Linked DNA regions of Drosophila melanogaster. The protein of the gene in region 1 interacts with the protein of each later gene in a pairwise test. Each region holds a gene or a part of one and is shown on either strand. Other genes may lie near its edges.

Region 1 (8,250 bases):
AGAAACCTGATAAGGGAACTCAAAAATGGGAAAAAAACAAATATAAACACTACCAAAAAAGGAATATTACACCGTCAAATGAATTATGCTAACAAATCATTTATTATTTGGACAAATTGAATAATTTTGTAAGTGAGAAAAATAAACAGAACGAATGCTTCTGAATGGTTTTTGGATGCCTCTTGAATACTTTGAGCGTCCGAAAGCAAAAGGTGGTTCATGATACTTCAATTAAATTCTTGATAACATTTTAGATCTTTAGATGTTTCGACTATTTTAAAGATGTTCATAATTTTCTTGTCCTTTTGCTCATATTTTTTTATCTTTTGCTAGAATAAAACCAATTTAGAAATGTGCATTGTGGGAGGGAAATGTTAAAAAAGTGATGAATGGGATGATGAGTTCTACTCACTTCCAGGGGGCAAGCTGAAGCCCATAAAGCTGGCTCCAGATGCGGCGGCTCCTCCAGCTGCTCCTGCTGCTTGTTGTCCGGGTGGCGGTGGTCCACCTGGATAGCCATTTGGATTTCCATTCGGTTGCTGAAATCCGGGGGTATTAAATCCGCCAGGAACATTGCCGTATCCACCATATGGCTGTGGACCATTGTACGTCTGAGCCGGAGCGGCGTACGGCGGCTGTGGTGGACAATTTGGGGCACATGAAGCGTACGGCGGAGGTTGGACATAGCCACCGGCCCATCCTTGTGGCCCATAGCCCGGCTGCTGTTGTTGCTGCTGCGGCGGCGGCGCTGAAAAACCATACCAATTGGGTTCATTCGACGACGGTGCCTGCGGCTGTTGCGGTGCTGGTTGGTGAGCAGGTGGTGCTAAGACGAAAAAGAGAGGAGTGCCCCATTGGGTTAAACGAAGCGAGTGCGTAGCGTGAATTTCGTGGGTAAGCCAGGTTGCCAATTCGCGTAGCCAGCGTGCCAAAACAAAAGCCGAGTATAGATTGGGTAAAGTGCACGTGCGTTTAACTTACCGATACCCGGATACGGCGGCGGATTGTCGCTCATATAGACCGTATTCGGCGCAGGGCCGCTGAATGCGTCATGCTGCGGCAGCCAGCCATAGTAGCCAGGTGGTGGCTGATATGCCGGCGGTGGTGCCTCATTCCAGGATCCAGCCGGCTGATATGGTGGCGGATCATCACCAGCCAGACCACCGCGGTGGTAGTTGTTCATCGCCGTCTTGGCGGAGCGCAGTAGAGCTTGACCATATCTATAAGAAATGGACTTGTTAATCAGAACATTATATATTCTCTTGAGTCTATTCAGTATTAAGACTTATCAAGAGATCCGTCTAATTAGTTTTAATTTAGGTGCACAATGCACTTACTCAATTGCGCCGCCTGCCTTGAAATGGAGCTTGAACTTGACCTCGCCCACGTAGTTTCCATTTGGCTGAGCGCGAACCTTTCCCTTGATGTAGTTGGCCCCGAAAACGGGCTGTTCGATTTCCACATCCGAAAGAGCAACAAACGGGGCACTGAACGACTGCATCGAATCCGAGGACTTCTTGCTATTGAAGATCATTCGGTGGGAGGTGAGATAAATCCTGCCACCTTTGGAGCCCTTGAAGATGGGATTGTCCTGACCGGAGAACTCCATGGAGACACTGTCGCTGTGGAGCAGTATGCTGAAAGTGTAAAAGCAGTTAATTTGTGTGCCATATTTCTATCTTATCGCTGGAACATAGGCTAATTTCCTTTCAAATCGCCAGCCACACGTCAGTGTTTACATTTATGACGTCAGGGATGTTCAGCATTTTCAGTGTTAATTAAAGGACTTTTCCGTTAACTTACTACTCTCCAGCATGGATGAGCACGCCATTGTTGGCGTGAGCCGTATTAACCGACATGTCTCTTTAATTTTCCAACTGTTTTGAGTCCACAAAAATTTGCAAAAATTTCATACAACTACGTTTTGTTTTTCTAGAAAACTGACGACAGCTGATGATTCATAGTGAAAAGTGTGGCAGCGCCGAAATTATCGGATATCGATACTCTTTTTAGGGTGACCAGTACGAGCAGTCACTCATCTCTAAATATAATTAGTTTTTTTTTATACATACCTGTCGTACAATTACTGGGGCGTTAATATGCGTAAGTGATAAGATAATGATTTTAAAAAGCCCACAAAATGTGTAGCAAAGAAAATGGAATAAATAGAAAGGTCTGGGAAATTAAGAAACAACAGTATTTGCGGTGAATTCGACTTTTATCAGCAGGTGGGACTTACGCCATTTTGGGCACTTGCCACCCCCCAGCTTTTATTTCCTTTTTTTACCTATCGAAAATTGAGGTGCTCAGCTGATTGGTTATTTTGTTTTGCTACCGGCTTCGTTTGGGTTGTTATCTCTTTTAAAGCAAATTACAAACTGTGTACATTTTGCAGTACCGCTCTTTGGGACCATGCCGAATGGCGTCAGTTTGCCAAATCACCCGAATTTCCTCAACCAATTGGCAGCTGCAATTTCCACGGCGGCCTCGAGCACATCTGTCGTGGGAAATCCCTCTTCGCCCCCCAAACAGATCCAGAATAAGATGGCAAAACAACAACAACAACCACAGGGCAGTGCGCCCATGGATCTGGAGAATGAGAACGAACACTCTGCGGATGTGAGCTCCTCGACGATGCACAAGGAACCCAAGTTGCAGGCCACATCCAACTCGCTCACTCTGCCCGATTCGACGCAACTATACCTGAATGGCTTGGTGCACACACCACCTGGATATCTGTATTTTCCGGCCACCCAAGCGGGTGGTGCTACTGCACCCGGCAATCCATCCTCGGCTGCAGGGGGATCCACGCCGGCAGCTTCAGCAAACAGCACCGCCAATGCGCAAATGCTCATGGATCCTACGGCCATGATGGCGGCGGCGATGCAACAAATGCAACAGATGCACTATGCAGCGGCAGCAGCAGCCGGAATGACCACAGAAACCGGAGCTGGACTAGAAGCAACTCTTAATGCGGGTAATGAAAGCAATACCAAATTGGAACCTTAAATAAACATTCTAATAAAAACATACTTTTAGATGGCGTTACACCAGCTGGCCTCAAGGAGGTGATCAAGACCAAGAACTGCATCCTGTTTCCACCTAATCCGAACGCACCTCCTCCCACAATAAGGGAGCGACCACCAGGATGCCGGACGGTGTTTGTGGGTGGACTGCCGGAAAACATAACCGAAGAAGTGATCCGGGAGATCTTCGAATCATGCGGCGAGATCACCACATTGCGCATGTCCAAGAAGAACTTTTGCCATATTCGCTACCGCCAAGAGGGTGCCATAGATAGGGCCATCTACCTATCCGGCTATAGATTGCGTATATCAGCGCTAAATGAACCTCCCAACTTTGGACGCCTGCATGTGGACTACGCACAGGCACGGGATGATCAGTATGATTACGAGTGTCGACAGAGACAGCATCAGAGGGAACAGCGTCATCGTGAGCGCATGTCGATGGACAGGATGCGATCGCAGTCGCCGCCACCAATACCGCACTACACGGATCACGAGGCTACTACTGTTGCGGAGCACCTACGCACCAACGAGACTTTTGTAAAGGCCATTCAAACGATTACCGCGTGGCTGGAGCGGGGAGATTGCACTAAGCGGAACGCCAATGTCTTCTATTCGATGATCCAGAGCACTCATGCCCATGTACGAAGACTCCATGCAGACAAACTGCAACTGGAGGAGGATCTAAAGAAGGCCAGAGACAGCTATCGCAACCAAATGGGCACCATGTCCACGCAATGTAAGTATTTCGGCCTTTCAGCCGGAAGATCAGCTTTCTTAGCTCTAGTCTAGACGGGAAACTAGGCGCCGATCCCACTTTGAAATCCTATTTTTCTGTTTACGTTGCGCCCGGGTTAGCCTTTTAGCGTCTGTATATCTGAACAATCTACCAGCGTACTACACATCCAAACACCTACACCTACACTGAAAACACACCATACCCATCCTACACAATATTTAGCAAATCTAGTCATCGAATTATTAAATGCCAAACTCCACATATGAAACTACCGTCTAAAATTTGCTCGCCAATGGTCGCTGGAGCAAGCCCAATGAATCCAAGCAGGATCAGGTAAAGACTAGCCGAAAAAGACGAAGCCCAAGGCCGCCGCACAGCAAAAGTCAGTGGATGAGGCGACAATCGAGATTGCCTTTGTTCTAACATCTGAAAATGTTTTGTGATGGTATATGGAGCCTTAGCACAAGCATTGGCATTTGAAAGATTAATGCATTTACTAGGAAGTTCAGTCGTTTTAATACGTTTTACTAAATTATTACTGCCAATTAACTACCGCTAATAAGTATTAAATCAAAAACCCGCTTAAATTATCAATTATTTTGATAATTAATATTAATGTAAAACTATAAAACTACATTTCGCATTCATTTAACAGTTTGATTTCCTGATTAAAATGGAATATCATTTCTTATTCAATCATGTTTATTTAAAAAGTTGGTCGCCCTTTTCACTGATTCGCTCCACTGTGCGGCTGATCCTCACTCACTTTCACTGTGTCTCGACACCACCACAAAAGTCTTAAGTCTTATTTGGCCCAAAAGGTTTGTAAGCCGCAAGGCAGAGAGCAAATTGAAACAATTGGTACAGTAATGGATTGAGAGGTCCTTGTAGAGCATCTCAGATAATCTCAGACTCGGACAAACGTAAAGATAGGTAATCACGCTGTTGTATTCTCTCTAGATTGTACCTAATATATCAACCTTAAATAATCGTAACTACTCTAATTAAATAATTGCTATGCGAGGGTTTCTCCTGTAGTTTAATTTCAATTTTTCATTTCTCACTCATTTTATTCGCAAAGAGAACAAGTCTAGTTTGACAAAGGTGAAGAGCAAAACTGAAAACCAATCCAGATAAACAAACAATCAAAAAAAAAAAAAAATACCCTCTGTCCTCCCTTAATATTATTATATATTATTGCATTATTGTTCAGTCACTCAGATTGAAAAAGTGTTCAATGCCGCTAGTCACAAGAAGGTTTGGGACCATTTCACCAAAGCCCAAAGAAAAAACATCGATCAATGGAAGAAATTAGCCACGGTACGTACTAAAATGTTCAAATAATCAAATACGAACAATTTCAAAGATGTTGCAAATTGTGTAAAAACAAAAAATACATTTATTGTCCAATAACTTCGATTCACTGTTGTATCTCTTGGTTTCATAATGTTGTATCCGTTTATGTTGATGTTGTTATCATCGTTGTGGTGTTGCAGTAGATTTCTAACCATTTTACTAACGCAATTTCTGTTATCATTCAGCATGTCGCCCATTCACCCGTCCTATATAATCATATGGTACTATTCCATTGGTGACGCTTATAGCTGCTAATTGCTTTTTATTAATTGTTAATTTCTTTTATTTGTCCCGTGCATTAAGACTCTTTTTAGCTGTTTGTGTTTTTGATTATCGAAATTTCCAAATCAGTTGTGATGTCACTAAAAAAGAAACAATATTAATATTAATGTAATTTGCAAGCTTAAAATGTACTATCGTTTAAATTATGTAGAATTAGATATATGAATAAGATTATTTTAAGGGAAACTGTTAAAAAACTAGTTAACTATATTACTATATTTCTAAGAATTCATTTTACAAAGTAAAAGTGCGTTTTTTAAACAGTTTCCTGATCATAAACACTCATTAGTATCTTTCTAAATATGAGGTCTTTTACTTTTATTGCTTTCGCTCTTGATCTGTAATGCTTTGGTCTATCTTTTCTTGGCTTTCAAGTATCATTTGTTGTTGTACTATCTCTATTTTTAACTAAGCATTTGCATAACATTTCCGATACGCTTTAAATACATCGAACTAAAAGTAAACCTTAGCCGAGTGTCCACAAACCTTCAAGTTTCTATGGGAAATTGAATTTTATAGAAAACGAGGAAGGTTTTGATGGGCACTCAGTGAAATCGATTGGTTGTGGTAAATAGCAAAAGGAAGAACTAAAAACATTGCTGCTGTGAAACATAATTTGTGCAACAAATACAAATTAATTTTTAATAGCAAAAAGAAATTAATCGAAACAAATTCTAAAACTTTTTGAAAATGTGGCGAGGTAAGTAAGCGGACCAGAACAGAGTCGTAAGCAAGGAAACAAATTTGATGCATTATTTAAATACACAAATTTTATAGCTAGGTTATAATAGTGTAAGCAATGGTACTCAAACCAAACGAAACCTATCCAACTAGTAGCAACGGATAATTAATTGAAGTTCCTTTCGCATGCCACGCAGGAACTTCGAACTGTCCAGATCACAGATGATGATGAAATGGAAATCTCCGACGATGAGCGGGACTACGATAGACGCGGACACAGCGCCAAGCGAATTCGCTACGACAGTGATGGCTTAAAAGTATGTTTATCAAATAGTTTAGTATAAGTAACTTGAAATAAAATAAAGATTTTAAATTGGATCAGGACGAGAACGACTCTCTACGCTGTCAACTGGAGGCCATTCGTCACGAGATGACGCTGGAGCGCAGTGATTATGTTCAGCGCGAAAAGCAGATAAAGGTACTTCAGGAAACCATTCGCAACATGCAGACCCAGTTGCTGCAGACGAAGCTACGCGAACAGAAGGACAACAAGACCATTGAGCAGTTGGAACGAAATCTCAAGGATGCCGGCATTAAGCAACTTCTGTTGAAGACCAAAATTAAGGAAACAGTGGACAAATTAAGGGACAAAGAGGCAAATAGCGCTGGAGCCTCAAATGCTTCAAACGCCTCAAATCTCGACTACAGCAGCGGGGATTCGTGTAGCCGGGAAGGCACAGAAATTATCCGCCCACAGGCAGAACCGGAAATAATTGATATCGATAAAGTGGATGATGATGTCCGCATCATAGAGCACCAAAGCGGTGTGGTGGAGATACACGAGATCGAGGACGATGAAAAGCAGGAGCCCGCTAAGGATTCTACGAAAAGCAAAGCAAATGAGTCAATTATGGAAAATGTTTCAAAGTCGAATCATGAGGAGACTATAAACAAAAGCAGCAAAGAGCAAATCCCAACAGTGGCCGCGGAAGAGGTTAGTAATGAGAATTATTTGTGTAACTATATATATATATAGATTTAATTACTTAATTTATCTTAGTTTTACATGCATCTAATTATTTCATACATTCCCTTGCATATTTCTAATCACTATTCCTTGTTTTAGGTGACTTTCAAGTCGCTAGTCTTGTCTGAAGCCAAGATAATTGCTCTGGCCTCAGCCTATCTGGTGCTGCATCCCTATGGCGTTGAAATCGCCAACATAGCCAGTTACTTAAGCGAAATGCTGCGCAATAACGCTGCCCCCAGTAACCATGATGATCTAGCCAATATACTCGGAAAGTACACAAATCTCTTCAAGCCGGAAAAGGAGAAGTGGAGATTCTGTGGCTTCAGCGAACCAACTGAATCTCAGACGGAGTCAAAGTGAGGGGATGAATGCGGAATGTAGACTCGAATAAGATGACAATTAAATGCTTTAATTATCTTACAACTATATCATAATGAGTAGCGAGTAAGCGGAGGAAAGTGAAATGTTAACCAAAGGAAAGACGCAAGTTTTTCAATGAAATCACGACTTAATGAGACCAGATCCAGGTTTAAGGGCAAGTACTCGAAGTTAACTCAATCGGAAGAAAGACACCACAAACTAACTACCGTTTCAATTATTTAAATAACTCAACCTAAAGAATATATATACACTTAAGCTAAATGAATTCAATATATACAAAATATATATACATCAATATTTTAAATAAACTGAGAGGCAGAAGGTCGCGTTGCTTTTGTTGAACGGAAGCGAAAGAATGGAACCAAATAAATTGTATGCTAAACTACAAAGAGTTTTCTTTAATTTGAATCAGATAAAATATTTGGTTAATGACACAAACACACATCTTTCAAGAGAGCTTAATCTTGAAATCGAATACAGCATCTTAAATATTTTGAGATTTCCATACTTATTTTTAAAATTGATTTTATTAAAATAAAATTAAACTTAATTTATGAGTTTGGTTATCAGTTGTAAGCTTCCTGATTCACAAGCTTTACATGATTCGTTAATTGAAATCGAACACGATGTCAAATAACATTAGCAGTTTTATTTGAGCTTTAACAAGATTGATCCATTAAAAAGGATTTAATGAATGCGATTATTATTCCAAATTCTTTTATTTCTTGTGATATTTTGACTAAAGTTGTATTATG
Region 2 (4,598 bases), on another chromosome or scaffold:
TGGCATTTCTGTAACCGAAAGCATTTAAATTTATTTGTTATTATTTTTGAAATGCGCCTTCCCCTTGTTGAATTGACCCAATTGACTTCTTTTCAATTCGATTTTTCAGCACCTAGTTAAGTTTTTAATTGCACCCAAAGATTGTCACACAAGACCAGCGAAAAAAGGAAAGGAAACCTTATTTCATCTGAAAACCACATCATCACCTAGTTTTTAATCAAGTTTTTTTTCTTAATTTTTCAAGCGAACTCTGCAAATTAATTTGCACACTGTTTATAGTTTTAAGTTACTTGATGTTTGCACGTTTATTCATATATGTATGTATGTATGTTTGCCCATATATCTTTATATATATATATATATATGCTTTCTAATATATATAACATTTGTTTTTTTATACATAAACGTGTGATTTCCTATTCTTGGACCGATTTTTCCGACTAATTTGTGTGTACAGATGCATCAATTTAATGCTAATGACTAGCAAACATTTAAGTTGATAAGTTAATATACTTGCTTAGCTTATGGACATTTTTGTATAGCTTTCAATTATTCATTATCCCGTTTGTCCGGACATTTCTCTCTTGAGCGGACTGCCATCCTGGAGCACACCTACTTGTAGACAGTTTGGAGAAGGGGTCGCCGCCGCTGGTCGATGGGCTTGTAGGCGTGCTGATAGACACTGGCCAATCGCCAGTGCTCTGGATAGCCGCCCTGACCCGCTCCGCCCGCTTGGCTTTGGAAGGGCGGCACCAGGGTTTCGATGTCGTAATTCTTTTTGGCATACGGCTGCCGGGGGCGTGGCACCACCAGAACCCTACCACCGCCACCGCCACCTCCTCCGCAGCCCGGTTCTATTCCCACGAAATCACCGGAGGCATTATGCTTGGGCACTCCGGCGCGAAATGCCGCCTTACTGGTCAAGCAATGTCCGTGTCCGTGTCCATGTCCATGGTGATGACCATGTCCGCCGAACGATGGGGGACAGCATCTGGGAGCTGGAGCCACCTTGTGGCAGAGACGTCGAGCTGGACGCCGGAGGAGAACGTCTCGCTTGCATGGTGGACCACCCGTTGGCCGGCAATCCATGGCCCTGCAATCCTGTCCAGAGTCCGGACCCAAATATTTCTCCCTCAAAGCCTGGTAGGCTTTGTCGCCCAGCAGGGGTGACGATTGATACTGCTTGGCTAGACGATCGGGCATCCCGCGACCGGGTAGCTCCGCCAAATTGCCGAAACTCACACCGCCAGTTGGACCGCCGATGCCCGATCCTCGCCTGCAATGCGATGCACTGGAATCGCGGGAGACACTGCGTGCTCTTTGTCTGGCCGGTGGCGAGTAGTCGCAGGCGCACGGATCCTCGCGATCCACACGGGCACCGCCAAAATCCGTTCGCTTCCTCAGGATGTCCTTGTCGAAGAAATCGGCCTCACCAAGCGTGCTGGTGAAGACGCCAGCCGATCGGCCCAAGTCCGAGGACTGTTCCTCGCGAGGCGTTTTCACGCAGGTGAAGACAGCCGGTCCAGCGGAGTCATTGGAGCCATCTATGTGCCTGGCCAGGCGCGGCTCATCCGATGGATTCGCCGGCTTGAAGTCCCAACAAATGGCCAAATCCATGGGTCCCATCTTTTTGGCCGGAGCGGAGCCAACACCTCGAAAGGCATCGCCATTGCCGAGGGCACGTGGCACGATGCCACCGCCGGTCTTCGGACGAAAGACCTTCATCTTGGTGCAGTGCGTCGGACCAGCATTGTGCGTTTTCACACCCACGCCCGTGGCAATGGGATCGATTTCCAGGGCCAGGCCAGCATGTCCGCCGGATATTTGCGCTCGCCGGAATGCCAAATCGGCGACGCAATCGGGCAGCGGCTGGTGGTCCAAATTGTCCTGGTGCATCCGTTTGGCCAGCTCGAAATTGGCATATGCCGGCACCACTGGCGATGGACACCGCTCGTTGGGCTTCTCCGTGATCGAGTGCAGCGGCATCTTCTTGATCAAATCGGGTTCGGATACGGATACGGGATCGAGATCAAAGCTTCGTATACCCACCGTCGGCAATGAGATTAGATCCTTGCCCGGCTCCAGGCACGCAAAGCTCAACTCGCTGCTGCGCTCCAAGTGATCCGTATAGCGATTTTGGGCCGCTGCCAATGCCGGAAATTGACGACCGGCCGCCGAGCCCAGCTGCTCCCTGTACTTGATGGGCTGCGTGTCGCGCGTGTCCAAGGTGAGACGACCAAGTGGCACGCTGTCCGTGCTGTTGCGTTTCTGGTCGAGGAGCTCCTGGTGCGAGGGCAGCCGGAACTGCGGCTCTGTTAGGTCGCCCGGCGTGTAGCTCAGTTCCGGGAGAGCTGTTTGCGACATGATTGGATGGAGTAATGGAGTAGGTGGCTTTCAGGTTCGTTCACTTGTTGCAATGCGTTGGTGGTGCAGAATGGAATGGGATGAGATAAGATGGAGATGGAGATGGAGATGATAATGATGTATGATTTATGTACATATGTAACAGATGGTTTAACCTGGGTTTAGTTATAAAATATATATGCTATATGATTTGTGTTGAGTGCAATCGTGCTGCCCTTTAAAATGTATTTTAAACCTGCGGTTACAATGAATTTGATTTGAATTTCGGTTGAACAAAATAATGAAGTTTTACTAATGGCCCTTCGCCGCCTTGCGCTCTTTCTCCTTGCCCTTATCCTTCGTCTTATCCTTCTTGCCCGCCTCCTTGTCCTTTGGCTTGTCCTTCGGCTTGTCCTTGGGAGTGGCGACAGTCGCCGCCGGTTTCTCCGACGATGGAATCGGCTTGGTCAGCTCATTGGGATGCAATGCCGTTCGTCCTTTGGAAAAGGCGGTTATGGTGCGCTTTCGACGCCGCTTTTCGGTGGCCACACCCGTCGTCTTGATTGCCTTCGGCGTCATCTTCACGGTTTTCTCGCTCTACGGTTGCAGGTGAATGTGAATGTGAGTGTGCAGGGTGCAGGATGAAAGTGCAAAAAGTGCAACCAGAAATGAAAATATGTATAGCTTGGTTGCAGATAACTCAATAATCTGGGTGCACATAATTGGTAAGAGGTGACACCGATGGTGACCCCGATGGTGACCCCGATTCCCACTCACCACCACGTCGCACTTGGCCCGATTGCAGCGCGCACTCCGCTCGCTCAACGCCCTCAGCTTCTGTAGTCCCTCGCACTTCGTCTGGCACCGTTCGCGCATCCAGTAGGGATCGTCCTTGTGGCCCAAGGTCAACCGCTGATCGCAGGCCAGTGCCCTGCGGTTCTCTCGCTGACAATTGCACAGGTCACGCGGAAAGTCAACAAACTTGTACCGCCCACTCAGACAGGCATCGTAGTGGGCGCAAAAGGCACGGGTTATTCGACGCGGTAGCTCGTAGGTTCCACGATATTGGCCAAATGAGTTGCCCTCCCTGTGGATTAAAATTAAACTGTATAATTGTGGGGCATTGGCAATTGCTTACTTTATCACTTCGGGCAGCAGGTGACCGTTATTGGCCGCCACAACCTTGGCGTTCTTCTGCAGACCACGTGGGCGGGGTGGTGAGAATCGCGGATATTCCCAGTTGTTGAGACGCTTCGACTGGAATCGGCCTTCGAACTGCAACGAACGAGTAAGTAAGGAACTCGATGTCAGGGAGCTGGGCATGGGCATGGGCATGGGATTAGCCAGGAGTCGATAGACACCTGTTAGGAAAACGCGCACGCCCCCTGCGAGTAATGCCCTTATTTATGGTCCCAGCGCAAACAAGGCAATTGATAAAAAGAAAGAACAAAAAAAAAAAAAAAAATTGTAGAAGGAGCAGAGCAGAGCAGAGCAGTAGCCCACCCCGCAGCCGTGGCCAAATGTCAATCGAAAACCGGAACCCACCCCGGGCGAATGGAGGTGGGGCCAATTACACGGCGTAATCTCTACGCTGGAACATGTGTAGAAAGGCATTTGTCTAATGCCACTTAATGCCTTGTTTGTGTTTGCCTTTCTAAAAATTTCCAACATCTCTGCGCGCGCTAAAAAACGAGCCACTGCATCTCATCCAAAGCCCGGACCATTTATCAGAAGGATTAGCCAGCCCTAAGCGGGCACAGGAGCAAGTGAGCCCGGCAATATGCCTGCAATTGAATTGGATTGAACTACTATGTGGCATAATTGAATATGAATATGAGAAGTGAAATCTGTTAAATGGAAGATCATCTCTTCCAAAAAAAAAAAAAAACATGGAGCAACATCCAACTTTGGGAGATTCAAAGCTTTCAGGCTGCGTGGTCTTCCCACGCGTACGAATTTCAATTAAGGAATGCAAATGGACCTTCGCTGGTAACTCGATACTCGGAGCGCTCCGAGTGTCACCACTTGATTGAGGCCTTGATCGATGGGTGCTGCAGTGGGTGTTCCACTGGGTGCTGATTCCGTATTGTGAGTGGGTGTGACAAGGGCGCACGTTCGCAGCGCGTGGCTGTTTTGTTGGTCAACCAGCATTACCGCATCGGCGCTGTAATTAAATTTGCACGGCAATTACGCAATGTAGCTGTGCGCTCGAACAAATTGCGGCGTGAAAAAATACAAATTGATTTTAAACTCAA

Evidence for each region.
Region 2: the proteins of CG10948 (region 1) and CG3081 interact in a two-hybrid assay, tested with the Drosophila melanogaster proteins (one large-scale study listed by BioGRID).

The regions. Positions count from the first base shown.
Region 1 is NT_037436.4:12,843,885-12,852,134, reverse strand, and holds CG10948 (uncharacterized protein), read left to right. Parts: upstream 1-2,017; 5' UTR 2,018-2,099; coding exon 2,100-2,103; intron 2,104-2,343; exon of another isoform or gene 2,344-2,395; coding exon 2,396-2,977; intron 2,978-3,039; coding exon 3,040-3,765; intron 3,766-4,978; coding exon 4,979-5,085; intron 5,086-6,281; coding exon 6,282-6,401; intron 6,402-6,466; coding exon 6,467-7,078; intron 7,079-7,210; coding exon 7,211-7,474; 3' UTR 7,475-7,881; downstream 7,882-8,250. Other genes in the region: Wbp2 (WW domain binding protein 2), read right to left, coding at 413-826, 982-1,220, 1,338-1,637, 1,804-1,859.
Region 2 is NC_004354.4:4,638,713-4,643,310, forward strand, and holds CG3081 (uncharacterized protein), read right to left. Parts: upstream 2,451-4,598; 5' UTR 2,365-2,450; coding exon 613-2,364; 3' UTR 547-612; downstream 1-546. Other genes in the region: CG3062 (uncharacterized protein), read right to left, coding at 2,656-2,940, 3,121-3,430, 3,482-3,618.